3 linked regions of the Pelodiscus sinensis genome follow. The protein of the gene in region 3 interacts with the protein of the main gene of each other region in a biochemical or structural test. Links are inferred from orthologs where the notes say so. Each region holds a gene or a part of one and is shown on either strand. Other genes may lie near its edges.

Region 1 (10,732 bases), on a different chromosome or scaffold from region 3:
AGCGAACAAGAAGAGGAGCCATAGGAGGTGAATGGAACCAGGACAAGGTTGCTCTAATTTGTGTTAACAAGGTGTACTCATCTTGATTATATGCCTGAGCCTAAGCCTCCAGATACTTCCTAAAATTCAATATCCAGCACAAGGAGTTGATCGAGCTAGAAAAATGCTCCAATGCCTTTCCCTATTTGTAAGCAGTCAGAGCTGGTAAAACTAAGCAGAGCCATTTGTATGTAACTTAGTTAGATATAATATTTATTAAGTCGTGGATACTGCAGCAGTATCTAGTCAGTTCTAGGCTGCATTTAAGAGATTTATCTCAAATTCCTCATATCCAGTCGACAAAAATGTGGAATGTGAACATTCGAAAACTATCCAGCAAATGGGAGCCATTTAGGCATTTCCTTGGTTCACTGCCAGCTTTACTGTCCCTCAATATAAACACAGCTAGCTGCCTGTCGCTTTGTGTTTTTTTTTCTCCCTTTAAAAAGTTATAATATCTGATACTGTTTGAAAATTAGGTCAGTTCTATACAGGGAAAAACTACTATTTTCTGTTATAACAAGTGCACCCATCCTAAAATCTACAGAAATAATATACCCTTCAACTGCCAGAGTTCAGCAGACACTCTGCCGAACAGTGTATTAACAGTTCAGTCAGTAGCCCAATCCTGCACAGTTTTAGATTATATATTCACAAAAGACTAGAACGAATGATTGTACAACAGATAAGGATTAAGTAATATTTCCTCTGAACAGCTGATCAAGTTGCTTGAAGGTGGATTTGAAGATTTAGTAGAATGGTGTTCTCAAAATATTTGGCTCTCCACAGCCAACATCTGACAAAGTCTAAAGAAGACACCCAGATAATGGGCTGGCCAAAGCAGCTGTGAATAACCTTTGGGAGTTTTTTTAAATTAATGGAAACAGAGACAGACTTTGAGTGATAGGTGTTATAAGAGCTATCAGCAATAATTGTGAAGAAAGAAGAGTATCTAACATGAGGAAAGCTCAGTCATTTTATTGTGAGAATTCAACTCTATGTTTTGCCTGAAGACAAAATGTGCAGCTTTTTGCAGCAAGGGAGGTTTAGGTTGGACATTAGGAAAAATGTCCTGTCAGGATGATTAAACACTGGAATAAATTACAGTGGGGTTGTAGAATCTCCATCACTGGAGATATTTAAGAGCAGGTTAGACAGACACCTGTCAGAGACAACCTAGGCAGTACTTGGTCCTGCCATGAGGGCAGGGGACTGGACTTGATGACCTCTTGAGGTCCCTTCCAGTTCGATGACTCTGTGATCCCCTTTTGAAGTACATCCAGATAATGTAAGTGGAAATTCCTCAACAGACAAGGATTGCAAGATGAAACTGAATTAGTATTGTTGGAACATCTAGTGGACCATAATAATGTTTGACTAACAGAAGATAGCAGCCTATTTTTTGATTGATCATGTAATCTGATTTAGTAATGAACTGTATAGTGAGAATTAAACTCAATTTAAGCATTGACTTTAAATGTTTGCTCTTCTTCTTAAATCTTCTAAGTTTTTCCTTTTCCACTGAAAATATCATAGAATGCATCACGCTATGACATCACACATACCTTAGATTTCATGTGTTATAATGTTGTACTCTGGGATATTTTGCACTGAATGTTCCTTGCAGTCTAATTAGCATAACAAGGCATTCTTCAAATAAATCTTTGTTTAATTCAATGGAGCTTTGGTTTTGCAATTCATACCAAATGGGGAGATAATATTAACAACTGTCCAAGAACATAAACTTGAACATAAACTGTTCATTAACTACTCTTGAAAAAGGCCCTGAAAAGTTTATTCTGAGGCTTAGCTAAGGCTACGTGGCTTCTGTTTGTAGACTGTAAAGTATGTGTTTTGAAGTGTCTTATCAGTAAATTCAAAGAGTATGTTAAACCAATAAAGAAAATTATTACATCCCTAAACCACAAAAATCCAAACCAGAAAAAACTCAGGAAGTCTATAGCAAAAGACAGCCAGAATTAAATTTAAGATTTAGGAATTCTGAGGGGAAAACTTGCAGTTTCAGTCATTTGTATACATTTGTAAATTACTAAATACTGATCTGATCCAGATGAGATTCCTAAAAATAGCTTTTGTGTGCTGCTATGTGAAAGGATGGTTGGGAAATTTTTGTTCAAATAAGAAAGTTACCAGAGAGAGGGAAATGTACTATACATTTGAATCAAATGTTTGGGTACTAATAAATATCAAGCAGTGAAGTTGATAACCTTTTTCCTGAAAGAATCAGAATAGGTTTTCCTAAAATTGACATAAACCAGTAAACAGGAGTAAAATCCAAATAACGGCTTTGCTGATCAAAAATAAAACCTCACTGAATCAGAATGGAGGGAAGAACCCCTTTGACTATATATACACCTCACAGTCACATTACTCAGATACTTATTTAGTTGTACTCATATACACCTCTATATGTACTATCATAATTTGTACTTTCAGTGAAATCATTAAACATGCTTATTAAGTTCACAAGATGCTCTAACTTCCTAGTTGACCATCTGCTCAGGAATAGGTTTAACTGTAACTCTGTAGTACTCCAAAGAGGTTGCACAGAGCCTTTTCATGCATGCAGTGACTGGACTGTCCGTGTCTAATTCAGGAACACAGATACTACTCCCAGAGATCATTACTAGCCACTCCAGTCTCCCATTAGGTCAGGAATACCACCTTTCTTGGCCCTTACACCAGACAACAAACCCAGCCTATTATAGAGGGGAAGTGCACTTAAAATACAATTAAAAGGGAACAAGCATTAGTCTGCCCAGATGTCCCTTAAGGAATTAGGGCCAAGAATTCCTCCTGAGACTCCTGCTGATGCGTTGTACCTCAATTCTCTTCCCACTTCCAACCACAGACTACGGGTTAAGACTCACCATCTGGCCTTATAAAGATTGATGTTTATGCACAGTTAGTGATCTATTCAGAATCAGTCATAAAGCGGCAATGTTTATTTTTCCTCAACACAGATGGTGAAATGTGCATGTGCAGTGAAAATGAACAGGCATTTAATTGAGCAGTACACTTCATTTGTTGCTTTCATTTTTAGCTGTTTTAGTTTAACGGAACTCAAAACTTCAATAGTTATTATTATTCAACAGGATGAGCAATTTGTGGTTTAAAATATAATAAAGCCTTCTGTTACCTTTAAATTCAGTTTAATTTAAATTGTGATGACCTAAATTGATCCACTATCCAAAAACATTTCTTCCAAAAGCCAACATGGAATATTTTAGCCCCTTCCTATTCCTGTATCACACTGTAGTGGTATGTGACTCACCACCACTGTGCCTCCTGGTGGCAAGTATGGGAATTAGCTTAATCCAGTTTGAGGGTACATCTACACTGCATGCTTATTTCATAATAAGCTATTCTGGAAGAAATACTCCAAAATAGCTTATTTTGAAACAGCACGGTTACACTAAAGGAAAGCCTCAAAATTAGTCCGAAGTAGGCTTCCCTAATGTGGACATGCTACCTCGATTTAGAACCCCAGGAGACACTAGGGAGTAATTATTTTGAATGGTCATGTGGAGGGGCTATTTCGAAATAGCAGCAGTGGATCATCCACACTAATGCTATTCTGAAATAGCTATTTCGGAATAGGTGTTATTCTTCATGGAATGAGGTTTATAGAAGTAGGAATAAGCTGTCTGTTAGTTCAAATTTATTTTGAAATAACAGAATTCATGTGTATTGTTATTTCATTGTTATAACATTGTTATTTCAGTATAACATCCATTATTCTGAAATAATGCTGCTGTGTAGAGGTATCCTGAGTGTGCTGTGTTTGGCTGGTCTCATCTGTTGTTCATTCACCTGTCTCCACCATCTGGTTCTGGATGTCCCTTAGACCATAGCATCCACTTCATAACACTACCCTCTGGCTATGCCCCCAACGCTGTTCTCCCCCTTTCTGGAGGAATCTGTAGTCTTCCTGGCTCTAAACCTGCCTCCGTGGCCTACTGCAGTCCCAAAGTCTACCTCTTTGCCTCACAGAGGCTCTGATTGGCTATCTGCCATCCTCACCCTGATTTGCTCCCCACAGGCCCTTTCTGACTGTCTGTGGGTTTGTAGAGTCTCCCTAAGGCTCTTCTTTTGGCCTACTGCACCACTGCAAACACCTATTGCCTTTTTCATCAAACCTGTGGGAAGTGTGTACTCAAATAATTAATGTAAGATTCTTGTGAAACTTGTGATTAAGGTTACTTTACAGTGGGTGATAAACTAACTCCAGGATGAAACACATAGGACACAAACACGGGAGTTAAACACTTTTTCATCTAAGTTAGGGCCACAGGGAACGTGACTTCTGAATTGGGAGCAAAGGAAATGGCTTAATAAGTCTAGCTCTGAATTTTGAATGTACTGATTAAGAGCAGTGTCACATGGTGTGCCACTCACCATTAGACTGGTGTCTTCTGGTCATGCTGGGAATTAGGTCATCAGGTCAACACTATGGTCGCATACCACCACTCAGTCTTTTGCTCAGGCTTGCTGCTTCTCTCTCATTCTTGGAATGATGACATCCTCTTTGTGATTCAGCCCTCCAGCTAGATCACTCAGCTTTTTCCTTTCCAAATGACTATATAAAGGGGTATATCAAAGTCTTTCCTTCATCCGTCACAAGCAGTCTTGTTGTTCGCTGCTTCTAGTGCCACTCCTTCCCTTGCAGGCAGGGAAATCCAGGCCCACCTTCTATTCTGGCTTCCAGTCCAGAGACCCTATATCCACAAGTTCTGGGCTTTCCTCTCCTCGCCCTAACTGCTCCTTCCCGACACTGCTTCCTGTCCTCCTGGTTCCTCACCTTTCTCTGGGAGTAACTGCCACAAACCCTCCTTCAGGGAGTGACTGCAGCCTACGCAGCTCAGAAGTCTCTAAACACTCCTCCCTCTTCCTGGAGGGTGATTGCCTTCCCAGAAGCAGCCCCTGTTGTCAACTCCCTGGCTTTCTAGGCCCTACCTATTCCTGCATAACTGAATCTGCTTACAGTCGTCTGCTCTTTGTTTTTTTCATATCATCTCCCTAGTTTTAGAGATATGTAAACATTGCCTTAATATAGAAATAGATAGTTCTGGATTCAATCACCTGATGTTTGTCGGGGGCAGGTGAGCAAAGCCCACAGGTAAGTGCTGAATGTGCGGGACTGGGAGATGGGTTGGAAATGGGGGGGACTACGGCCTATAATGGCAAGGAGAAAGGAGGGTCAGGGCACAACAGGGAGGCAAGATCAAATCAGTATCTTAGATGCCTATATACAAATGCGAGAAGTATGGGTAATAAGCAGGAAGAACTGGAATTGCTAACCAATAAATACAACTATGATATCATTGGTATTACAGAAACCTGGTGGGATGGGACGCATGATTGGAATATTGGTATGGAAGGGTACGGCTTGCTCAGGAAGGACAGACAGGGAAAAAAGGGAGGAGGGGTTGCCTTGTATATTAAAAATGTACACACTTGGACTGAAGTGGAGATGAACGTAGGAGATAGCTGTGTAGAGAGTCTCTGGGTTAAGCTAAAAGGGGTAAAAAACGAGGGTGATATCATGCTAGGAGTCTACTACAGGCCACCTAGCCAGGTGGAAGAGGTGGATGAGGCCTTTTTTAAACAATTAACAAAACTATCCAAAGCCCAAGATTTGGTGGTGATGGGGGACTTCAACTATCCAGACATATGTTGGGAAACTAACACAGCGAGGCACAGGCTATCCAATAAGTTTCTGGACTGCATTGGAGACAACTTTCTGTTTCAGAAGGTTGAAAAAGCTACCAGAGGAGAAGCTGTTCTGGATTTGGTTTTAACAAATAGGGAGGAACTAGTTGAGAACTTGAAAGTGGAAGACAGAATAGGGGACAGTGATCACGAAATAATAGAGTTCATGATCTTAAGGAAAGGTAGAAGGGAGACCACCACAATTGAGGTTATGGATTTCAGGAAGGCAGATTTTGATAAGCTCAGAGAACTTGTAGGTAAGGTCCCATGGGAAGCAAGACTGAAGGGAAAAACAACTGAGGAGAGTTGGAAGTATTTCAAAGGGACGTTGTTAAGGGCCCAAAAGCAAACAATTCCGCTGTGTAGGAAAGATAGAAAATATGGCAAAAGACCAGCTTGGCTTAACAAGGAGATCTTGCATGATCTCAAAATAAAAAAGGAGTCATATAAAAAATGGAAACTAGGACAACTAACAAAGGATGAATATAGGCAAGCAACACGGGAATGCAGGGGCAAGATTAGAAAGGCAAAGGCACAAAATGAGATCAAACTAGCTACAGGCATAAAGGGAAACAAGAAGACCTTTTATAAATACATTAAAAGCAAGAGGAAGACCAAGGACAGGGTAGGCCCACTGCTTAGCGAGGAGGGAGAAGCAGTAACAGGGAACTTGGAAATGGCGGAGATGCTCAATGACTTCTTTGTTTCGGTCTTCACCGAGAAGTCTGGAGGTGTGCCTAACGTAGTGAATACAAGCAGAGAGAGGGTAAGTTTAGAAGATAGGATACACAAAGAACAAGTTAAAAATCACTTAGGAAAGTTAGATGTCAGCAAGTCACCAGGTCCTGATGAAATGCATCCCAGGATACTCAAGGAGCTGATAGAGGAGGTATCTGAGCCTTTAGCTATGATCTTTGAAAAATCATGGCAGACAGGGGAGATTCCAGAAGACTGGAAAAGGGCAAATATTGTGCCCATCTATAAAAAGGGGAATAAGAACAACCCAGGAAATTATAGACCGGTCAGTTTAACGTCTGTCCCAGGGAAGATAATGGAGCAGGTAATTAAGGAAATCGTATGCAAACACTTGGAAAGTAATAAAGTGATAGGGAATAGCCAGCATGGGTTTGTGAAGAACAAGTCATGCCAAACTAATCTGATAGCTTTCTTTGAAAAGATAACGAGCCTTGTGGATAAGGGAGAAGCGGTGGATGTCATATACCTAGACTTTAGTAAGGCATTTGATACGGTCTCGCATGATATTCTTATTGATAAACTAGGCAAATATAACTTAGATAGGGCCACGATAAGGTGGGTGCATAATTGGCTGGATAACCGTAGTCAGAGAGTTGTTGTTAACGGTTCTAAATCCTGCTGGAAAGGGATAACAAGTGGAGTTCCTCAAGGGTCTGTTTTGGGACCCGTACTATTCAATATCTTCATCAATGATGTAGATATTGGGATAGAGAGTACGCTTATTAAGTTTGCAGATGATACCAAACTGGGTGGGGTTGCAACTTCTTTGGAGGATAGGGACATAATTCAAAATGACCTTAGCAAGTTAGAGAAATGGTCAGAGGTAAACAGGATGAGGTTTAATAAGGAGAAATGCAGAGTGCTCCACTTAGGAAGGAACAATCAGTTCCATACATACAAGATGGGAAGCGACTGTCTAGGAAGGAGCATGGCGGAAAGGGATCTAGGGGTCATAGTGGACCACAAGTTGAATATGAGTCAACAGTGTGATGCTGTTGCAAAAAAAGCAAATATGATTCTAGGTTGTATCAACAGGTGTGTTGTAAGCAAAACTCGTGAAGTCATTCTGCCGCTCTATTCTGCACTAGTTAGGCCTCAGCTGGAGTACTGTGTCCAGTTCTGGGCGCCACATTTCAAGAAAGATGTGGAGAAATTGGAAAGGGTACAGAGAAGAGCGACAAGAATGATTAAAGGTTTAGAGAACATGACCTATGAAGCCAGGCTTCATGAACTGGGCTTGTTTAGTTTGGAAAAAAGAAGATTAAGGGGGGACATGATAGCGGTTTTCAAATATCTAAAAGGGTGTCACAAGGAGGAAGGCGAAAATTTGTTCCTCTTGGTTTCTGAGGACAGGACAAGGAGTAATGGGCTTAAAGTGCAGCAGGGGAGGTTTAGATTGGACATTAGGAAAAAATTCCTAACTGTCAGGGTGGTCAAATATTGGAATAAATTGCCAAGGGAGGTGGTGGAATCTCCCTCTCTGGAGATATTTAAGAACAGGTTAGATAGACATCTGTCAGGGATGGTGTAGACGGAGCTTGATCCTGCCTTGAGGGCGGGGGGCTGGACTCGATGACCTCTCGAGGTCCCTTCCAGTCCTATTATTCTATGATTCTATGATTCTATGTTCTAACAAACAGTAATTTTCAGTACAGTAGGAATGGTTTGAGTAAATGAGCTGGACTTCTATGCCCCAAGTGTGTGTAGGCTCCTCATGTTTAGGCTACTACTGAATGGTTGTTTTCTAAATATCATATATAATAATAAGAGTGGGATTTTTGACTGGAGATGAGATGTTCCTATGCAGGCTGCTCTGGGGAGAGAGGACAACCCCAGACCTCTCTTGTCACAGTAGGTGAGAGCAGGTGAGAAGCACCTGTCCATGCTCAGCTGCAACAGGCACAGGTGGGGAAGGGGTGCGTGTCCCCCCAGCTGGGGGACAGACAGACACACAAACAGACAAACTCTTTGAAATATATAGTAGACAGCTTTCCCTTTTTCCACCTCTGCCCCCTGTTGCCCCAATGGAGTTATAGCTGTCCTGGTCCCCATCTCTGGCCCCTTGCTGCCCCCTGTGGTCATTCTGCAGTAAAACTCTCTCCTAGCAAACCCTTCCCTAGCACAGTTGGGGACACATTAGTGAGGCTTGGAGGGGTTTTGGAGCAGTTTTTTTTTTTTGCGCATCTCACTTGTGTGGCCCCAACTGACTTTTCTGTGGGTCAGTTACCCTTGACTCAAAACAGGTTCCCCGCCCCTCTCATTAATAAAGACAACGCTGAAACTTTTTGTGTTTGACATAATATTTTATTTAAAAATGAAGCTTGGCCAACAAGCCCCCAGTTGGGGCCAAGCCCCCATCTGGCTGCAGCATCATAACACTTCTGCACCTCCCTGACCCCAGACTCGAGCCTATCATACACTGGAACTCCTTGTCCTGAGCCTCTCACATCCCCAAACTCCTGCACCCCCACATCCCCAGTCTTCTGCCACAACACTCCTGCACCATCCACACACTGCAAATCTGTGTCCTGAGCCCATCCTACTCCCAGCCTCCCTGCCCTGAGCCCTTCATGCACCCCAGCCAAACTCCTGCATCCTCACAGCCACAAGCCTGTAGCTTGCTCAGCACCCCAACCCTCCACCTGACCCCAACACTCTCCAGCCTGGAGCCCTCTCCCTGAGCCAGCATCCTCTTCTCTACTTTCTCCTGCACCCACATTCCCTCCCAGAACTTGCACCTTTCACCCCTACCCAGTGCTTTTTTTGTGAGCCAAAATAACAGTGGAGACAGCGTGAAGACCTGGGGAAAAGTTAACCAAAAAAAAAAATAAAAAGCAACAACTTTACCCCAGCTCTTCACGCTGTCTCCACTGCTATTGTGGCTCTTTGTCTGGAATGGGTAGGCCACCCCTGCAGTAGGCTAAACACTATTATGTGGTCATCTTACTTTTCCAGTCACACACTCAAATCCCATGGCTACGTCTAGACTAGCATGATTTTCCGCAAAAGTTTTTCCGTTAAAAGCATTTGCGGAAAAGAGCATCTAGATTGGCACAGACGCTTTTCCGCAAAAGCACTTTTTGCGGAAAAGTGTCCGTGCCAATCTAGACGCGGTTTTGTGCAAGAAAGTCCCGATCGCCATTTTCGCCATCGGGGCTTTTTTGCACAAAACAATACCGCGTTGTCTACACTGGCCCTCTTGCGCAAAAAAGCCCTGATGGCGAAAATGGTGATCGGGGCTTTCTTGCGCAAAACCAGGTCTAGATTGGCACGGATGCTTTTCCGCAAAAAGTGCTTTTGCGCAAAAGCGTCCATGCCAATCTAGATGCTCTTTTTCACAAATGCTTTTAACGGAAAATTTTTTCCATTAAAAGCATTTGCGGAAAATCATGCCAGTCTAGATGCAGCCATTTAGTTTGTTTACAATGTAATAGGACTATAAGAACATAAGAATGGCCATACTGGGTCAGACCAAAGGTCCATCTAGCCCAGTATCCTGTCTGCTGACAGTGGCCAATACCAGATGTCCCAGAGGGAGAGATCACCACTGGTAATCCTTATGTGATCCCTCCCCTGTCACTCACCTCCAGAGAAACAGAGGCTAGGGACACCATTCCTACCCATCCTGGCTAATAGCCATTGAAGGACCTACCCTCCATGAATCTATCTAGCTCTTTTTTGAATTCTGTTAAAGTTCTAGACTTCACTGCATCCTCTGGTAAGGAGTTCCATATGTTGACTATGCACTGAGTGAAGAAAAATTTCCTTTATTTGTTTTAAACCCACTGTCTATTACTTTCATTTGCTGACCCACAGTTCTTATATTGTGGGAATAAGTAAATAACTTTTCCTTATTCACTTTTTCCAAACAACTCATGATTTTATAGCCCTCTATCATATCTCCCCCTTAGTCTTCTCTTTTTTAAGATGAAAAGTCCAAGTCTTTTTAATCTCTTTTCATATGTGACCCGTTCCAAAATCCTAATTATTTTTGTTGCCCTTTTCTGAACATTTTCCAGTGCCAATATATCTTTTTTGAGATGAGGCGACCACATCTATATGCAGTATTCAAGATGTGTGCGTACCATGGTTTTATATAGAGACAATAAAATATTTTCTGTCTTATTCTCTATCCCTTTAAAAATTATTCCTAACATTCTATTTTTCCAAGAACTATCCACAATGACTCCAAGACCAAGTCTTT
Region 2 (9,948 bases), on a different chromosome or scaffold from region 3:
CCCTTTCAAATACCGTCCGTCTTGGCTGCATGAAGCCCAGAGTCCTGTGGGACTTCCCCAGTGGGAGCTCTTGTAGATTTCTAAGGAGAAATGCAGAAGTGCCTATCAACTAGTTGATGGAAATTCTACTGACTACTTGACTAGGAAATTAACCGTTACTTAACATCATTAGTCCAACTGAAAAGGTGCTGGCTCCTTTTCATCACCATCTACAACATATTTGTATGTGCAATCCTGGTGCCCCTGTTGAATTCTCCAGCTAGCATTTGGAACTTGACACATTCATCCCAGATCCCATAGCACGTTCCAGGGATTTCACCTGCTTGGCTGTGCCAATATTAAGACTTCCATTCTGTTCTCTCTCACTGACACGGGTTGAGGTTTTGTGGATGGTTAAGGGGACAAATCAGGAGGGTTGGTTTGTTTTGGCAGTGTAGACATCCCCAGAGTAGCTACTAAGTGCATCCCTTATTTAGGTGGATGATTGAATCCTTATCTGAATTCTTGTGTTGACAGTTAATATCACGTTCCACAGAATCAAATACTTAACCTATGAGAGTTGGGTATTCTCTCCCTTCAGTACACAGGAGTCCAGTTTCCGAAATAATTTTTGTGGACTGAATATGTTTCAGGCACGGGGCTTTGAAATCAGTGACTCCTGGAGTTCTTTGATGATCACTGCTCATAGAGGCTGGACAAGCCAGTTAAGTGAAATAGGAGAATAGAGATCCTCGCTCTAATTGCTGCTACCATTATGACAAAGGTTAATAAGGAATGTGGGGAAATCATGACTTATCTGGGTAATAGGACAGATGCTATTTCATCTGTCTGAAAGTTCCCTTTCCACTCTGGAAAAATATAAAAGTAGCTAGTGTTCAGGCCACAACTAAGTGGTTGCTAACTTATTTTTGTGCCTCAGAGTTTAGTCTCTTTTCTGGTACAATAAATCTTTGGGCAAGACACTGGAGTTCAGGGGATGAGAGGAGAATTTAGCACAGGCTGTTAACTGTGGAGTCAAGTCTTGGGAGTTTCAGCCACAAGGAATTATACTCTGTGGTTACCTTTTAAGTCTTTCCAACATTTAGTCAAATATTACATGAAGCTTAGCATTTGGGGATTTCCAATAAGATCATGCCATCTTCTGAATGAGGATAAGAATCAATACCATTTTTCAGGAAAATAAGCAGTTATCCTTTACATCGACAAGCACTGGAGAGCTTCCTTTTTCACGAATAGTTTTAATAGACCTTTCAGACTTTCTTAGTAGCATCCTGAGAGGTGCATTTATTTTCTCTTCCAGCACCTTATAAGGGTACACACACAAGTAATATTTTGCAAGATGTTCTCCTCTCCCTGAATTAGCTCAGAATACTGTAAACTGGCCTGATCCACAAAGACTGTTTGGACCCACAGCTTTCATTATGGACAACTTCTAGTTTAAGCCAGGATATTCTGCGTTAGTTTCAACTTTGTCCACATATTGGTTTAATTATTTCAAGACAACACAAAACTGCTCCAAATCCACTATGGTGCAATGGAGTTATTGAGAGCAATGGTATTGTTAGGGAGTGACTCCCTTAGATAAAAAGTAAGTTGCAAAAAAGTTCTGCATTATCTGAGCCTATTACTTCTGCCGAGTCCCCAGTGTCCCCTTAGTTCTTCTGTGAAACCTTAGGGTACGTCATACATGGGAGGTCGACAGATGCCTTTGATATCGACCCCCGCGCGTCCAGACTACCATGCTGTGCCGACAAACAGCTGATCGGCACAGCGCGGCAGCCATGTAAATTTAAATTTAAAAGAAGCGGCGATTATTTAAATCACCTATGTCGGGTAGCCTAATCTACATGCCTCTGGCAACAGAGGCATGTAGACTAGACGTTCCCTTAATGACCATATATCACAACTGTTTCCACCAATGCTTCCATAATCTTCACTCCTGAAATACCATGTTATGGCCACAATCCTTTCACCAGAAGATCGCTTAAAAAAAAGTTGTCAGTACCACTTCTTAATAGGTTGCACTGATTACTGTCAACCAACATGACAGTCCCCCTTTCATGTGCAAAGACTCAGAATGATGTTTTCATAGTACTCCCAGACCATATCTAGTCACACAGCAAGAGAAGAGACAGCCTTTTTTAAAATCATGGTTTCTTATGGTTTCTTTAGTATTTAAAGTGGCGATATTTACACAAAAATACCTTTTAACTAACAGTTATCTAATCTAGGGATGTAAGCAACAAGTCGACTAGTGATGTAACCAGTAGCTTCCCCTCCCTCCTCCTCCCCCCCCGCTGCCTCTATCAGCAAGCAGTCTCCGCTTGCACTGCTTCTGCTGCACTTCTGCTTTTGAAATGTACAAAAGTCCCAGCACGGATCTTGTACATTTCAAAGGCTCAGACACTGCAGGAGTATGGAGCCAGCAGGGGAGTCCCAGGAGCCAGGCTTCTGCTTTTGAAATGTACAAGATCCTCGCTGGGGCTCTTGTACATTTCAAAGGCTAAGGCACTTCAAGGAACATGGGGCCAATGGAGTCCCCCGCTAGTCCCGTGCTCACTGTGGAGCTTCCGCTTTTGAACTGTAGCAAGGGAGGCGCGCCCTTATAGACTAATCTAATAGTCAATGGAAATCCCTTCGACTATTTGATTAGTTAATTAATTTAACATCCCTAATCCAGTCAATGGATACTGATGGGTAACGCTGCCGTCCTTCTTATAAATCTATTAGTCAGGATTTTTTTTTTTTTATGAAATTTCCATTTGGTTGTTTTCTTTTACTGCTTCTAGTAAAACCCTGGCAACATATGAAAGAAAACATTGGACAATGTATCCGTTTCTTTTATCGATATGCAACTTTACCAGAAATCCAGGTGTTAAACTGCTTTATCATTTTGTAAATAATAGAGCTTACTGAATAAAATGTGTGACTTTCAGAACATTCAACTACAACATCATTGCCACCATTTTCTCCTGTGGGGGGGCCCCCACAATTCTCATTAAAGGTAACCCTGTAAAAGAGGGGGGAAATTGGGCATGGTCCCCTATGCCCTCTTATCCTCCTATTTATATCTAGATAAGGAATGTTTGGGAATTTTTTTTTTTTTAATTTCTTTGCTAAAAGCACACAAATTGCTTTTTTAAGGGGAAAGGGGTTAAGATTACAAATTCAGGTTCTGTCTAACCTCGAAGACTGTATGATCACTAAGGAAAAAAAATACTAATGAAATGTCAACACACCAAGAGACTGAAGAGTTATCTATTGTGATGGTAAGAAACTGCTTAATTAGGGTATTTTTAAAGTTTTAAACACTTATGTGATGATCCTGGTCATAGGCACTTAATGGGTTTTAATTTTTAAAAAAAGATTAAAAAAATGTAATCCAATCCATCAACCATTCCTGTCTTCTTTAATCATTATAAAGCAACTGTAAAGTATTCCCCAACCTCACTTTTTAAAAAAATTCCTTGGTAAATCACTATTAATTCTTAAAAATTAGTGAAATACCAAAAAAATATAGCTCCTTTTCAATGGCAACGTTTATAGGAACATTTTCAAATAGGCCAATTTACAGGGAAGAAAGCAACTAGTCAAGTAGTCAACTACATTCAAAAGGCAGAGCCACAGCGGGTTCCAGGAGATAATCCCACTGGGGCTATGCAGTTTCCCCCCTTTTTGTCTAACTGAGTAGCCAATAAGAAATTCCATCCATGACTCAATTATCTGATTAAACACAATTTAGCATCCTTACTAATTTATATGCAATTTTCAATATCCAGAATGTAGAAATTACTTTCAAACATATGGAAAAAAGATGGTTCCATTTAGCATATTCATCCCAGATCACCAGTTGATATCCCTTTCACATAAAATATTAGAAATAAAATCCATTCATATAATTATTAAAGATCATCTACTTTTCTAAACACGAGGCACTCCCTAAAATTCTAAAAATTTAGGTACATCAATAGACACAAAAGACATTTATTTCTTTTTAAGGGAGGTCTAGTCTAAAATGGTATATCAACCAATACCAAAAACAGATAGCGTGTACCTTCCACACTGTGGGGGAGGGGTCTGAAAAACATAGGCTAAGATTTTAGTAAGAGAAAAATATACCATGTACACTATCCACCACTCCCCCATCCACATCGATCTAAACTATGCAACTTAGGCTACGAAAATACCTTAACTGAAGTTGACGTATTTCCATGCAGTAAGGTCAGTAGGAGCTGCTTTCTCGTTGACTCTGGCTACTTTTCTTGTCCTGATGAAGTACCGAAACTGATGTGATAAATCGACCTCTGAGCACTCCCCCATCTAAGCAGACACAATAACAGACCGCTGGTGGATCAATCACTGTAGTGTTGATCCACTGTGTAGTGAAGACAAGTCCTTATGCATCAAAAGGGGTAGAGGCCACAAGACTCATATGCCCTTTGAGGAATCTTATGTATTACATTACAGTAGTTCTAAGTTCTTAATGTACTAAACCCAAGTTCTCAAACATAACTAGCGATTGTGTGCACCTATATAAAAGCATGTACAAGAGGTCTGATTTTCAATTATCAATTTGGGGATCCAAAATCATTAGTTACTTATGAAAATGTGGGTCCAATATTTTATATAGGTAGATAAGTCTTTATTGTTATACCAACAAACAATAAATGCATCTTATTCAAGACAGAAGGGTGTGATGTCTAGGATGCAAAAAAAGTAAAATATAATTTCCCACTTAGGGAAAAATAGGAGGAATTTAAAGCTCAAGTCTTGATTTCACCCTGACACAGAGTCTGGCAAGACTAACAGAGAGAGAAAGCAGTTTAGTGAGACACATTTGACCAAACAGCTAGCCACTGACACTATGTCTACAGTGCTCCAGTATCCCCAAATAGCTATTCCACATCTTCTGAGCATGCCCATTATTTTGAAATATAACAGGCTCCTTATTCCAACAACCCTGTAAACTCATTCCACGAGGAGTAAGGGATGTTTCAGAATAGCAATTTATTTCAAAATAAGTGTTGTGAAGACAATGCCAAATTTTGAAATAAGCTATTTTCTCAAAATAAGCTATACAATTTGCATAGCTCAAATTGTGTAGCTTATTTTGAGTTGCGGGTGCAGTGTAGATGCACCCTGAAAATAGGCTTACAAATGAAGAGAAAATTGGACACATAAGAAAGCAATAAAAACTAAATTCATGACAGCACTGAAAATTGTGCTGACATCCAGGCAGATTAAAGTGATGGACACTCATTAATGGATCTCCAAGACATCGTGTTGCTTCAGGCCAATTCCATAAGCCAAATACACAGGGAAGGATTGGAACTTAACTTCATTTACTTATGCAAATGGTATGAACAGGGACATTGGCTGGCTCCCACACTACCTTCCACATCCTAATGGCTTCACCAACCAACCAAACAATGGAGGTGCTAACTGTTCTTATCAGCCTGTTGTAATTATTTGAACCACCTACTCACTCACTCTCTCTTTTTACCCCTTCCCCCTTTTTTCTCCTTTTTCCTCTCCCTACCCCTTATTTATTCTTTGATCTAGATTTTTAATACTCCAGTCATCTGAAGAAGTGGGTTATGCCCAACGAAAGCTCATGATACCATCTACGCTTTGTTAGTCTTTAAGGTGCGATTATTTTATCTATTTGATAGTTTGTTGTTCTGATAAAATACTGTGGTGGAGGGAAAGCATTAATCTAATTATTAATTATTAGTTTCTGAGTTGCAGGGTGGCCATTTAGATTTTTCCTTCCTTTATTCTGCTAGTTCCAACTGAAGGAGTCTATGCTGAACCCTGACTCAGTAAGTGACATGACAGAATCAAACAAACAAAAGAGAGTCAGGAAGGTTGATCTTGTGTATAAGACACTCAATGGGGACTCAGGACATTCATGTTAAATTCCCATCTCTGTGAGGGTACGTCTACACAGCAACGTTATTTTGAAATAACTTAGTCCACGTCTAAACAGCAGGCAGTTATTTCGAAATAATGTCAAAATACTGTCAAGCTGGAGGACTTCTTACTCCAACTCCTGTAACCCTCATCATACAAGGAGTAAGGGAAGACAAAGGATGAGTGCTCTATTTTGAAATAAGTGCTGTGTAGACGCTCCCAATTTGAATTTCAAAACAAGCTACGCAATTGACGTAACTCAATTTGTGTAGCTTATTTCAAGTTAAGTCTTGCTGTGTAGATACACCCTGACAGACTTCTTGTGCGATCTTAGACAAATCACTTGCTCTCTCTGTGCTTCCACAGAATGATGTTAAAAAGCTACCTTTTGAAGTCCTGTCTATGGTAAACTGGTCTGTAACTCTCATCCAGCCACTACCATAACAGATGATCCAGCTTTTGAAGATGCATCTGCCTAGTGTGAGATCTGTCAGTATATAAACCAGCTATTATGTTCTTTTATTGTTTACCTCCTCTTCTACCCCTTTGTCCTAGCCTGGTTCAGCCTAAATCTGAACCCATATCAGGTCTCTAGTAGATTGTCAAACTTCTTAATAAAAAAGCCTCCTTCCCCCTATTAAACCTACCTACTATGAGGAAATTGTTGCTGACATTTCCTGTCTTTAAAAACACTGTCCAGGAAATATATTACTTCAGAAATCTATCAATAAATTGAATTTGTGCAGCGCTCTGTGGGCATGTGATATGCTACAAGGTACAATTTTTTCCCTAAATGCATATAGTCATATGCAGGGCTTGACAAACAGTGGCGAAAGCTGCTCGCCAGCCCCGCACTGCGCATGCGCAAGAGCCGCATTGCGCATGCGTGCATCGCCGGTAAACGAGACACGCGGCTGAAATCTACTTGCCATGGGCGAGTAGATTCTATAGTTTATTGAACCCTGGTCATATGAAGTTTGAAAAGCTAGACATACTGCATGTATCCATGCAGCAGAACTTGGTAAATTATTCAACCTTTTAAAATAAACTTCCAAGTGTTCTTGAATGATTTTTCTTCCCAGCAAAGGACGTTTGTGTTAGGTGTTTACACCTACTGTAAATACTGGTAATACTTGTGCAGTAGCTTTTCCTAATTATTGCTGCAGGCATACACCTACTATAGGAAAGCTGTATTGTGACTTTAACCTGGTTTTACAAGTATATGGAGTTGAAATAACACTTGCTGTCTCAAGATTGAAATGTATAAATAAACTAAGCCTCTAATGCAGGGCTGAAAACACGTGCCAAACATTTACTGTGACTAAGGGGTATAAAAAATTCACACCCCTAAATCCCTGTGCAGATAATGCTAGGTTGACAGAACATTTATCCATTGACTTAGCTGCCTTTTTGGGTGGTGCATTACCTATGCCGATGGGAGAATTCTACATCAGTGTCTACACTATGGTTCACATCTGTGGTGCCATAGCATTTTAATGTCGACAAACTCTAAAACACTAGAGAACATCCTTTCCCTACCTGTACAACACTGTGTTTTGAACAAACAAACAGTAGAGTAGAACCTCAGCTTTGCAATCCCCAAGGGAATGCAGGTTGTTCCTAAATCTGAAATGTTCGCATCTCTGAACATGACTACGGTGGTTCTTTCAAAAGTTTATAATTGAATATAGACTTAAAACAACTATGAACCTTTACTGAGCAGGAAAAAAATGCTAGTTCTTAATTTTACATGAAACAATCACAGAAACTGTTTCCTTACTTTGTGAATTTTTTTAAAGCCTTCCCTTCAAGCAGTTTACATTGAACACATTATTGCACTTTTTGTTTTGGTCTCTTGCCCTGCTGGAGTTCCAAAAGAGCTTGACTGCTCATTTTGCAACTCTGGTATTTGTTAACTCAGGTTCTGCTGTTTGTAATGAAAGACTGAACCATAATACATACACAAACAAGGGACATATTTAGGTTCCACAGGAAACTTTAAAATCTGTCAATTCCTAACTTTTTTTTCCTGCTTCACTTTACAATCAATATTTTACTTGATTTCTGTACATAATTTATTAGGTTTTTAAGATATAACTGAACAAATGGAAATTCTCTCATGCCACACTCACCTAACACTTTTAAAGGTATTACACCAAGGATGGACAAAGGGCCCTCCGTGGGCCAGGATCTGGCCCACCAAGCCAGTGGATCTGGCCCACGGCCGCCTTGCCATTCCCCCACCCCCAGGCCAATCAAGGCCTGGGGGTGGGGGAAACACATTAAGTCTCCTTGCACCTGCAAGAGCGTGCAGCAGCTAGACACACACACCAGCTATTTTAAAAGAGCCATGTTTATCTCTAGCTGACCCGTTCCTTTGGTGGGGGGTGCGAGAGAGCTTTGCACAAACACTCTTGCGGGGTGAGGACACTTCACATGCTCCCTCGCCCCCAGGTCCTGATTGGCCTGGGGGTGGGGGAGCGGCAGGGCGGCTACAGGCAGGATCCACCGGCTTGGCAGGCTGGATCCTGCCCTCAGAGGGCCCTTTGCCCATCCCTGGGCTAGAGAGACGTGCCAGCTGTTTTAAAACAGCTGGCATGTCTTCCTACCCACCGCACACTCTTGAGGAGGTGAGGACACTTCACATGCTGCCCTGCTTCCAGGTCCAGATTGGCCTGGGGGCAATGATAGCATGCAAGGTCTCCTTCCACTAGGCGCCTATAGGGCACCACCAGCTGTTTTAAAACAGCTGGCATTTTTCTCTAGGGAACAGGGGAGGGAGGAAAAAGGAAGACTTCTCAGGCTCCACCACAAGAAGTCTCCTGTCCCCTCCCCTTCCGACTGAGGCCACGCCCCTTGCAGAGTGGCCAGGACCACTTCAGAAATTTCTGAAGTCGCCGCCTTTTAAAAATTATTGCCCACCCCTCTGTTATACTATCTACCTTGTGTGCCAATACACTTTAAAATACCATATAATTAAAACATACCAGCCAACACACATATCCTTTTTTAAAATACCTTTTCCCCTTAACAGGCCTATGATACATCTGCAAGTTACTCATTTGTTGGCACTGGTCTCACAATACATTGAGTAACTTTTGAATTAGTGTCCTCATTGGCTCACTTATGAGCCAAAGGTGGTAAGTGTCCTCATTGGCTCACCATCTATGTTCATCTTGTGGTGGTGGTGATGTGTTCTCTTCTGAAGGGAGAAAACACAAATGATCACATATCATGAATCTGATGTACGTGGGTAGTTATATATACACTGTTAAGTAAGCTTTTTATAGCAGAGGGTTTATAGTCTCAAACCTAATTAGTTCTTTGACATATTTAATGGAAAAGTATGGTTCTTCCTTTCTCTGCAGAAGCTACATACTTGATTGATGAATGCTATCTTTTCTTAAACTTGTACCCATTCCACATTTTCTGGGGCTGTGTGGCTGAGTCTCTCAATTCTATGCTATTTCCCCTCCCCCTTCTGAGTTTCATGCAGTCTTCTCCATGCTTCCACTCTCATCCTTCCTCCTCTTAGCAATAATTGCCTTAAAGTCTGGAGCTGTGCCTCATTTTCAGTGCCTCCGTAGAGAAGATCATCTCTTCTGCTCCGTTGGACAGCTAGATGCAACTGGCAAGTGAGGAGATTATGGGTGGATAATTGTAATTTTTTCACAATGGTCAGTGTGCTACCTCCATTTCTCAGAAAAAACTTCTGTGCTGTAGCCGTGCCTTCAATTTAGCTACATTCAGAATTGATGCAGACACAGAATTTTAATCGGAAGACTAAGGTTTTTTACCATATTACTATATCTTTATTATAATTGTAGGAATCAAGTCTGTGGAAAATATACTTCTGGTTTGGGGTTTGGTTTGGTTTTTTTTTTTTTTAAATAAAAATTGTGCCTTGGTCACATGAAAGTCACAAACTTATTTCTCTCAATCTGGGCTTCCCTACAGACAGATGAATTGAGCATTCAAGATAAAGAGGAGTCTATCTGTTTAAAAATAAATGGTATACAACTTTGTGTAATTTTA
Region 3 (9,925 bases):
TGCTGCCCAAGCAGAAATATGCTGTGCTTTCCCTATACTGGTGCAGGTGACATCCCCTTCCACCGGCCCCGAAATGTTAGCTGATGCAGTTGGGGAGAAAGGGTTACAGCTAAGGCCCATCACGATTGCACCCCGCATTCCCTACATCCATGCAGGAGAGGAAGCAGGAGCCCGCCCCATATACGCAGCTCTCTCTCTCGTGTTAGTACCCATGATTCAGGTGGCAAGCTGGGGGAATAAGGAGGTACCTTCTATCTCCTTAAGCCCTTGTGTCGGCATGCAGGATGGGCCACAATTTGGCTCTCACTTAGCAAATGTACCATATAGCTGGTCAAGCATTTTTGCAGTGTCTCTGTGGAGGACATCTTACAAAATGAGAGTCCCACTACTGTGAAATGCTGGGTGCCCGCAAGCCTCACCCACTTCAAATTAGGAGCAGAAAGCACTCAGCACCTTTCATGATCAGGCCCTTAGAACGCCACTGCACTGAACTTGCCCCTGCAGATACTGTTGCCCAGCAGGGTTGAGTAAGTTCCATTATTTCCCCAACAGAAGCGTAACGTTTCAAGACACAAGAACTAATGTATTGGCACAGCAGCCAGCAATGTTCCTTTGCTCTGCCAATTGTTTTTAATGGGAGAGAATTCTGGGAGGATCATCTCTTGCATACCTGTGTGTTTTTCCTGCAGCGAGCTTGCTGTTTTTAATACAGAACTCTCTAGGAAGGTAAGGTAAATCACAGAGGGCATAATCCAGTTCCCACAAACAGCAACCCCTCCCCCCATGGACTGCACTAGCTAAGCAGGATCAGTCCAGCTGTGTCAGCCTTTTTCAAAACTAAAACCAAAAGTTTTCAAGCACCTTTGATTTTCCTTGCTTCAGTCATAAAAGGGATGTTTTATATGGTATCTTTAAAGAGTGATCTTCAAAGTGGGATACTAGCTCTGATAAAACTGTCCTAAGCTATCTGTTTGAACAAGTCCTTCGCTGATTCCTTGCTAACCTGAATAGTGGGTTCTGGGAGACACTGTGGGAGATTCTGATTTCAGCTGCTCCAGGGGACCTGGCCCAATGTAAGTATTTCAGCATCAGTCATCCTTTGGGGTGACATTAAAATGCATTGCTATTCTATTATAGAAATAAGGCATCTGCACTCACTTCAGGGGAGGAAAGAGCGAAAGGCAGCTGCTGCAATAAGGCTTTAAAAAGGAGAATGGAGCAGACTGAGTCCCTGGTCTTTGCTCCTATAGGGAACAACACTGACTTTTTATAAGTGTTGCACACCTGCATGTCCAGTTTTGTGTATAGGGGCTGCATAGGGGAAAATAGTTAAGAAAATTACACAGTATTTGCTATGTTAATCATTAGACAACACCAAAGGTCAAATTCTGTCCATAGGTAGGACCACACAGCTGTAATCTATCACTAAAGATGGAATTCGGCCACAGTAGTGTCTCCCTTTCTGCTCTCTGACCTAGTACACCTTTGTGATCTATTTCACTGCTGGGTAAAGAAAGGGGACAATTAGATAACACCCTGACAAACAGGAACCCAACAATTCAGAAATATTTAATTTCTTCTGGGTGACAAGGTCCCCTTGTTATAAGATGCAAAGTTGATCAGCTCCTCACTTTCACAGCCAGAGTAATCTGAAATGCCTTGTGTTTCACCCCACAGACGCTATAAGGTTTTAAACCAAGGATTCTCATCCCCTTTCCATATCGCAAGCCTATATTCAGGTATTTACAACTGATCCACAAATGCATCCCATAATTCTTAGCACTGGCTCCCACAGCTCCTCCAAGAAGTGTTACCATTTTTCAGTGACTCAAGAGAGGCAAATCAGAAACTGTGCTGTTGTTTAGTAGAACCAGAGGACGAACAGGCTGCAAATGACTGAACAAATCCATTTCAAACTAAGATAGGAGACATGGAATAGCAGCAGGTTCACCACCTCGCTCCACAAATGTTAATGACTCAAAGGTCAAGAACTGCTGGTTAAATGAACTTATGTACAAATAGGCACTTTATCAAACACACACATGCATACCAAGGGCATTTTCTGTTTAACACGCAATAGGCATATTTGTTTCTGCTGATCCTTTTCTCAGGTCTAGCAACTAAATTAACTCGCCTGGAAAAGACTCTTCAACTACCCTCCCCCCAAAAATCTTGAGATCAATGGAACTTTCTTTCCGGTCTTTAACTTATTCTCTCTTCTTTTTTGCTCTTTTTTCATACAGTCTGTGCCAAAACCCTCAAAGACTCGCTTCTTTTGCATTCCATTTTTAAGGTGGCTTCTAAAAGATCATCTCACCGCAGTCTGTGGTTTTTTCCCCTACAAACGTTTCAATGAGATATTTGCCAATTTCTATCACATCTGTTCCCCTTCTCTCCTGGGATGAACTAAGAAGGGTGTGTATGTGTAAATTTCAGTCATTTCAAATCACAGAGTTGCCATAGCCCTATGTGATGTGATCTGCTTGTTTCTCTTGCCTTTTTGCAGAGCAAAAGTAATAGTCAAACTCTCTCTCTGCCTTCTGGATTTGAAGTCTGCTTTTTTTGTGCCTTTGTTAGTCAAACACAACATGACAAACACTGTCTTGGATTATCGGAGCTGTTTAGGAAGGGTTTGCTAACTATGTCTCTTTGCAGAAAGGGCTGCAAAGCCCCAGGCTGGAGATCCTGCAGATAATTGTCACTTAACACACTACCAAATGTCAAAATGTGGACGATCTCAGTAGTTCAGGCAGTTCTGTCACTTTTTTTCCCTCCCCCTTGACAAGAGTTTAAAATCTCTCAACCTTGTGCCCAGGGAAGTGCAGGTAGTTTCTTTATGTCCCGTTCAGGTTTGCATTGTACTGTAGTTTGTGACCTGGCTTTCCTCTTCCTCCCTTTTTTTATTTTTTTTAACATACACATAGTGAAACTTGCAAAGCCCTTAGCTTGGCGCTGGGGTTCCCGGAGTTTCTTTAGTCAAATTAACCCCTAGCTTTCCCTAGCCATAGGCGGGGATCTCTCCGCTAACCTACCATCCGATCTGTTTGGGGAAGCTGTCCCCTCTCACAAGCTCCGAGTTGAGCAGGACGCCTAAGGATCTTAGCGCTGCTTGTAAAACCAAATTAACTCTTTACTTCCAAGTCACAGACACGCACAGCCCTGGCGTTTGTGATCTGGGCACTCTAGGGAGGATATACTCCCTCTGCCCCCTCAATAAACACGCCAGAGAACAGGTAGCAAGAAGGCCCAACTTTGCAGGGGTGAAAACCCCTTACCTACTGCTGTCCCATGGACAGCAGGATCCACCCTGCCCTGCCAGCGTCTCAAAGCTCATGATACTCTCTCGATATATTTGTTAGTCTCTCAGGTGCTACAGGATCACTTGTTTTTTAAAGTTGCAGACTCACAAAACTACCCCCTGAGAGTTTTTAACAGGGGCAGGGGAGTGGTTGGGACACACAGGAGTCCTGTGTCTTTCCCCCTGCTCATCACCCACTGCCCAGTGTGCAAGGCCTGGGGCAGAGGGACAGCCGCCGGGCTCCTTTTAACCCCTTACCTTCCAGCAGCACCTCCTTGCCCGCCCGCTTGAGCGCCTGCACCGCCTCGTCGTGGGTGGCGTCCCGCAGGTCCGTCCCGTTCACGGCCAGGATGGCATCTCCCACGTAGAGGGCCTGGGTCTGGTCGGCCGCCAGCCCCTTGAAGATCTTGCTGATGAGGATGGGCATCTTGTTCTCCTTGCCCCCCTTGATGCTGATGCCCAGCCCGCCCAGCTCCTGCTTCAGCACCTTCACGCACCGCTTCTTGTTGGAGATGGCGTCGGGCACTTGCTCGGGGAGCTCGGTGAAGGCGGTGCGCACCCCGGGGCCACCCCCCGCCTTGGGGCTGCCGCCGCCGCCGGGCGGCTCGGGGCTGGCGGCGGCCGCCCCCCGGCAGGGCACCCCGTTGCCGCTGGCCCCGACGCCGTTGTGGGCTGCGCCGTCGGCGCGCTCCTCGCAGCTCAGCACCAGCGCATCCTCGCCCAAGTTGGCCAGGACTTTGTGCCAGCGGTCCCGCACCAGGACTTCCAGCCAGCCGCTCCGCTGCTGCGCCCGGCCGCCGGCCGCCGCTGCCGCTCCCGCCATCTTTGGAGCATTCTTAGCGCACCATGTGATTGCACCGCCCGGCCGCCAGCCCGCCAGCCGCGCACAGGACAGGGCTGCGCCCCGGGAGCGCCCCGAGCGCCGCCAGCCGCGCCCGCCGGCCGGGGGCGGAGCAAAGCCCGCGGCTCGCCCAGCGCCCGGCCAGGCGGCTGCCTCGCAGGCGCCACCTCCGCTCACCTGCTGCGGGGCGGCACGTGGAGGGGGGGGGCCCTGGCAGCGCAGCCCCGGGCGCGCCCCAAGCCGGGCAGGGCGCTCGCCCACCTGCTGCCCGGCCCGTCAGCGCCCGCTGCTCCCCCCTCCCGGCCCCGAGGAGAGAAACGCGCACAGCAGGGAGCGCCTGGGGGGCAGCTCGTCCGCTCCGCACCCCAGCGAACCCTGGCCTCCTCGCCCCGCGGCAGCACGCGCAGACGCGTCTCTTCCCTGACCCAGCGCTAGCTCCGGTCTGCCCAGCGGCGCGCTCAGCCCCATTCTCCCAGCGAGTTACTTTCCATGTCTTCCTGGGGGCAGTCTCCCCACTCACCGCCCCAGGTCTGGGAAGCCCCTTCCCCTCTTCCCGTCTCTCCACTTTGCCTCGCTTTCCCTTTGCATTCACTCCAGCTGAGCCAGTGTTACTAACCACTAACAGAGCATAGCCTGGGACAGAACATGAACATAATGGTCGCACTGGGTCAGACCAGATCTGGGGTCATTTGGCGCCGTAGCTCGTCTGTTGGTAGCAAATTTTGCAAGATGCTAAAGAGGAAATGTGCAGAACAGGGTAATTATGGAGTCATCTATCCCCTCTTATCCAGTCCCGGCTTCTGGCAGCAGAGGGACACCCAGAGCATGGGGTTGCATCTGCTGTCGATGGAGCTGTCCTTCATGGATTTATTTAATACGTTTCTTAATGCATTTATACTCTGAGCTTTTGCAGCATCCCCCTGGCAACAAGTTCCACAGAGTGACTTTATATTGTGTGAAGAACAACTTTCTTTTGTCTGTTTTAAACTTGTTGTCTGTTAAATTCATTGTGTGACTATTGGTTCTTGAATGAAGGAATCAACAGCGCTGCCTTATTTACTTTCTCCACACCATTCACAATTTTCTCCCTCAATCCTATATCCATGTAATTGTCTCTTTTCAAAGCTGAACCATCCCTGTCTTTTTACTCTCTCATCATAGGGAAGTTGCTTCATTCCCCTAATCATGTTTGTTGCCTCTCTGTACTTTTCCAATTCTATCTTTTTTTAAACAGCATTCCAGGTGTGGGAATACCAGGTATTTATACAGTGGTATCATATATTTTCTTATTATCTATACCTTTCCTGATGGTTCCTAATATTTGCTAGGTTTTTTTGGGGGGGGGGGGAGTGTTTACTTCGGCTGCATACCGAGTGGAGGTTTTCAGAGAACTATCCACAGAGACTCCAATATCTCTTTCTTGAGTGGTAACAGCAATACACAATTCACACCTCCTGATACTGGGAAAGGGACAATATAAAGGGGGGGGAACAAGACACAGCTACTTCTTTTACCATCTGATTATATGTGGTAGGTACTGAAGGCAGGGAAAGGTGGAGCCTCCCCAAATAGCCTTGTGAGGCCCTGGACATGTTCTGCACCCAGGCCCCTTGTCACTTCTCACTGCTGTGGGGAGAGCTGGATTACCCAATAGTCAGACAAAGCACTTGTTTAGGCACCAGCAAAGCAGGGGCACCAAAAAAAATGAGATTTTTTTTTAAAGTTGATATTTCAAAAAAAGCATCGAAGTAGTCCTCATGGGAAAAATCAGAACTCCACAGAACGCTCTTTTTCTCAGCTGAAAAGAATAAAAAACCCTCAGAGAACAACAATGTGTCAGGACAGACTTGATTCACTTTCCCTATTGTGTATGGAAGTGGACATTTTAATTTCAACATACATGTAAGTTTTGTGTCATTTCAAAAAATAAAATTTTATTGTACGGTATAGTATTGTATTTCTTTTGAATTACATATGGGGAGGCACCATAATCTTTTCAGTGCTTAGGGTCTCTAAAGGTCTTAATCCAGCCCTAGCTGTGGGGAACTTTTCCCCCTATGGCTGGGGGCCCAGGTTGGGATTAATGAAGGCTGGCCTGTGCACTGGACTGGGGAAAGCCTCGCACCACCTGCCCACTTGGCATGTTGGGGGGTGGAGCATGCTCCCACTATCCAACACTTAAGAGCATGGCCTTCTACTCACCTGCCTGGTGCTCTGGGGTTGGAGTGGGGAGCTACACTGGCAACCCATTTCACTGGGTGTGAGGGACAGTGGCCCAGGTCTTGGGGGGGGGCTGCCAGCATTGGGAGGGGGGCTGCTAGGCTTCAGAAAGAAGGTGTGGGACCTTGGGCAGAACAGGCAGGGGCAAGTCTCCCTGAGCCTGGGGTTCACCTGCCACCCATGCAGATGATGGTGGCCACCTCTGTGCAGCATGGATGTTGCCAGAAAGCGTGGCTGAGGAGTCAGCAGCAGTCGCCTCATCGACACCCTCCCACACCCTGTTGCCTTCCATGGACAGGAAACGAGCCCCAAGGGAGGCAACAGAATTCAGGGCTTCAGTTTCGTGCACACCAAAGCTTGAGACTTCGGCCCAATAGGCAGTGCTGGGAGCTGGGGCTTTTGCCCTGTCAGAGGTGCTGAGGCTCAGGACTGTAGCCCCACAGGGCACGCTGGGACCCAGGGCTTCAGCCCAACGGGTTTGAAAATATTTATCAGAGTTCTGCTCTGGACACCAGTTGCATTTAAATCCAAACTATTTGAGGTGGGAGAGTCCAGAGACCAGGCTCCAGACCAATCCCCAAAGTTTACACAGCAGCAAAACAGCCCTGATATGGGCCAGCTGCAGATTTTTTCTTTTCTGTGTAGACAGACTCCTAGCGAGCCACAGCCTCTCCCCCAAAGAGCTTTCAGTCTAGCATTACAAGACATAATAAGGGGTTGAAACAACTACTAGGGAAGTAGATGGAGCAATGTTGGTTAGGACAGGATAGCTGAAATGCAAGCTTATTTTTTCATAGACTAAGCTGTATAGACACAAGAAAGCGGCACAATAGAAATGCTTTTTAAGGGATGAGGAAATTGAAATACAGTTGCACTAATGTACAGGGCAGTGAAACGTCACTTATTGCAAATTAGAAGGAATGTTCCCAACTGTTACTCTGCATGACAAGGTGCACATAGGAAGTGTTTCCTGTCAGAGAATCTCTGCTCTGAATCCCTGTATCTGCTGAAGAAGCACAGTACGACATGTCTACACAGCACGGCAAAAATCGAATTGAGATATGCAACTTCAGCTACATCAATTGCATAGCTGAAGTCAATATAGCTTAATTCAGCTTTTGGTGCTGTATACACAGCAGGAAGTCGAAGCAAGAACACACTTCTTTCGACTTCCGTACTCCTTGTAAAATGAGGGTTACAGGAATCAGAGTAAGAAGGCCTCCAGCTTGACATTATTCCAAAATAATGGTGCTGTGTAGATGTGCCTGTAGAGTCCTAAGCCAGTGGCTTTCAACTGGCCTGGGCCTAGAGTGCACAGTAGCTTGTGAGACAGAACCAGTTATGCCTGTCTGCCCCTTACAGCATGAGTCTGTTATTTCATGTTTAGCTTCCAGTTCAAAAACTTGCCAACTGTGCAAGCTTCTGCTCTTGGCCCTGTGGCTTTTGAGTCATTAGGGTGCACTCATGACAATTACAAGCTTTCTTTGCAGCCATGAGAGCTGGAAACTTAACTTTTTAGCTGAAATTCTCCAGCAATCATTTTATGATGCCCCTGCTCATGCTTTATGAGAATTGACTTGTGAGTATAAATATGCATACCTCGAAAATGCTTAAGGCAAAATACCTCATGTAACCTAATAATTTTCATGTTACAATCTGCTGAATGTATATATCCTATTGTGGTGCATGTATCATTCTTGTGTGTGACGTTAAAAATACAAAGTGTGGATCTGTTTATAGTTCTAAATGTGTTAAAGGCAGCCATCACTGATACTCTGGAAACCTAATGATTCAGTAATCAACTTCATAACCTGTGAATAGCCTTGTTTGGCCTGTAAGCCCAAACGATGATTGGTCCTAGAAAAACATGTGACCATACCACCTGGTACTGAAATACATTTTGAACCTGGTATTTTTCCATGGGAATGGAGAATGCCAAAAAAGGGTTCCCATCCTGGGGGAAAGTCTTCTTTAAGCAATGGGAAGCAATCAGCTTTTGTCTTCAGCTGGCTTTTGAAACTGAAACTATATAATTCCCCAAAGTGGTGAACACTGATAGATATGCTAAGCACTCTTCTTTTGGGCTTCATGGAAGGAGCAACTAACTCCATTTATGCAGCGAGAGAGCTGAAAACTATAGAAGGCACTGTCCAAAGCAATGGGCCATAGGGCAAACCCATAGGAGAAGCTGACTGTGGGCTGAGGCTAAGATTTGGTCTATACTACAGAGTAAGTGAATATTGACTTAACTATGCAAGTGTCTACTCTTAAATTTTCCTCCCACTGATGTAACTGCCCTGTAATGCTGACTCAATAATTCCACCTCCAGGAGCAGTGTAGATGTAAGGTTGATATAATTAGGTCAACGTAGTGTCATTTAGATGCTGCATTGCTTACATCAATTATTTTTGGCTTGCAGGAAATGTCCCACAATGCCCTACCCTGCCAGGACAATCAATATATGCCTTCCTGGTGAGGACGCACATTGCCGATCAGAGCTGGATTAAAAGGGGGGGCTAGCCGGGCAGCTGCCCAGGGCGCCAACCTATAGGGGGCGCCTGATTGCAGTTGTAAGGGGCGCTGCGTGCCCATGGTCAGGGCCACACATGCGCCACGTGCCCGCTGCCCGGGGCGCAAGAATGGCTCGGGCCGGCACTGTTGCTGATACAGAAGCAAAGTAAAGATATGCACAAGCGATGTACCTTGGTGGCTGTATGCTGATGTAAATTAGGCCAGCTTAATTTTGTAGTGTAGCCATGGTTTAAGGGATCATTAGGCAAAATATATGTATGTGTGTGAGACAAGGTCAGGCTAGAGGACTAGATTAGATGGGGCACAGGTGGCTTTAAAAAGCACAAAACCCTCTCCTAACTTCAGGGCAGCTAGAAACAGCTCACTTCTTGGAGTTCCGGTGTAGTGATAACGGCCCAGGCAGGGCTGCTATAAATAAATTAAGGGATAGCTGATTTCACTTAAGGTTGCCATGAGGCCTTGTTTTAAAAAGCCTTCCCTCTCCCCCCCAGAGGGAGAGAGTGGAAGAGGCGTTTGGAGGAGGTGAGCGCTGATAAGGAAAGAGACTAGCTGGTAAAGAGAACATCAACACTGCTAGACTAGGTGGGGAAGGTAAGGGACTCTGACAGGGTATGTCTACACTACAAAGTTAATTCGAACTAACAGACGTTAGTTCAAATTAACTTTGATAGGCGCTACACTAGCGCTCCGCTAGTTCGAACTTAATTCGAACTAGCGGAGCGCTTAGTTCGAACTAGGAAAACCTCATTTTACGAGGATTAAGCCTAGTTCGAACTAGCTAGTTCGAATTAAGGGGTGTGTAGCCCCTTAATTCGAACCAGTGGGAGGCTAGCCCTCCCCAGGTTTCCCTGGTGGCCACTCTGGCCAACACCAGGGAAACTCTATGCCCCCCTCACGGCCCCGGAGCCCTTAAAGGGCCACGGGCTGGCTACACAGTTTGTGCCAGTTGCAAGGCTGCCAGCACCCAGCCAGCAGACCCTGCACCTGGCACGCCATGAGCCAGCCACCCGATGCCGCCCAGCCCTCCCCCTCTT

The links.
Region 1: the proteins of SNTB1 (region 3) and CYSLTR2 interact in a test that uses a peptide from one of them, tested with the Homo sapiens proteins (2 studies listed by IntAct, with this or other methods). The link is inferred for Pelodiscus sinensis from reciprocal best matches to the Homo sapiens genes SNTB1 and CYSLTR2.
Region 2: the proteins of SNTB1 (region 3) and TANC1 interact in a test that uses a peptide from one of them, tested with the Homo sapiens proteins (2 studies listed by IntAct, with this or other methods). The link is inferred for Pelodiscus sinensis from reciprocal best matches to the Homo sapiens genes SNTB1 and TANC1.

What each region holds. Positions count from the first base shown.
Region 1 is NC_134711.1:289,116,353-289,127,084, reverse strand, and holds the start of CYSLTR2 (cysteinyl leukotriene receptor 2), read right to left. Parts: upstream 4,823-10,732; 5' UTR 4,459-4,822; intron 1-4,458. UniProt on the Homo sapiens protein: Receptor for cysteinyl leukotrienes. The response is mediated via a G-protein that activates a phosphatidylinositol-calcium second messenger system.
Region 2 is NC_134717.1:32,483,803-32,493,750, reverse strand, and holds the start of TANC1 (protein TANC1), read right to left. Parts: upstream 4,321-9,948; 5' UTR 4,214-4,320; coding exon 4,188-4,213; intron 1-4,187. UniProt on the Homo sapiens protein: May be a scaffold component in the postsynaptic density.
Region 3 is NC_134712.1:21,361,557-21,371,481, reverse strand, and holds the start of SNTB1 (beta-1-syntrophin), read right to left. Parts: upstream 4,590-9,925; 5' UTR 4,122-4,589; coding exon 3,557-4,121; intron 1-3,556. UniProt on the Homo sapiens protein: Adapter protein that binds to and probably organizes the subcellular localization of a variety of membrane proteins. May link various receptors to the actin cytoskeleton and the dystrophin glycoprotein complex.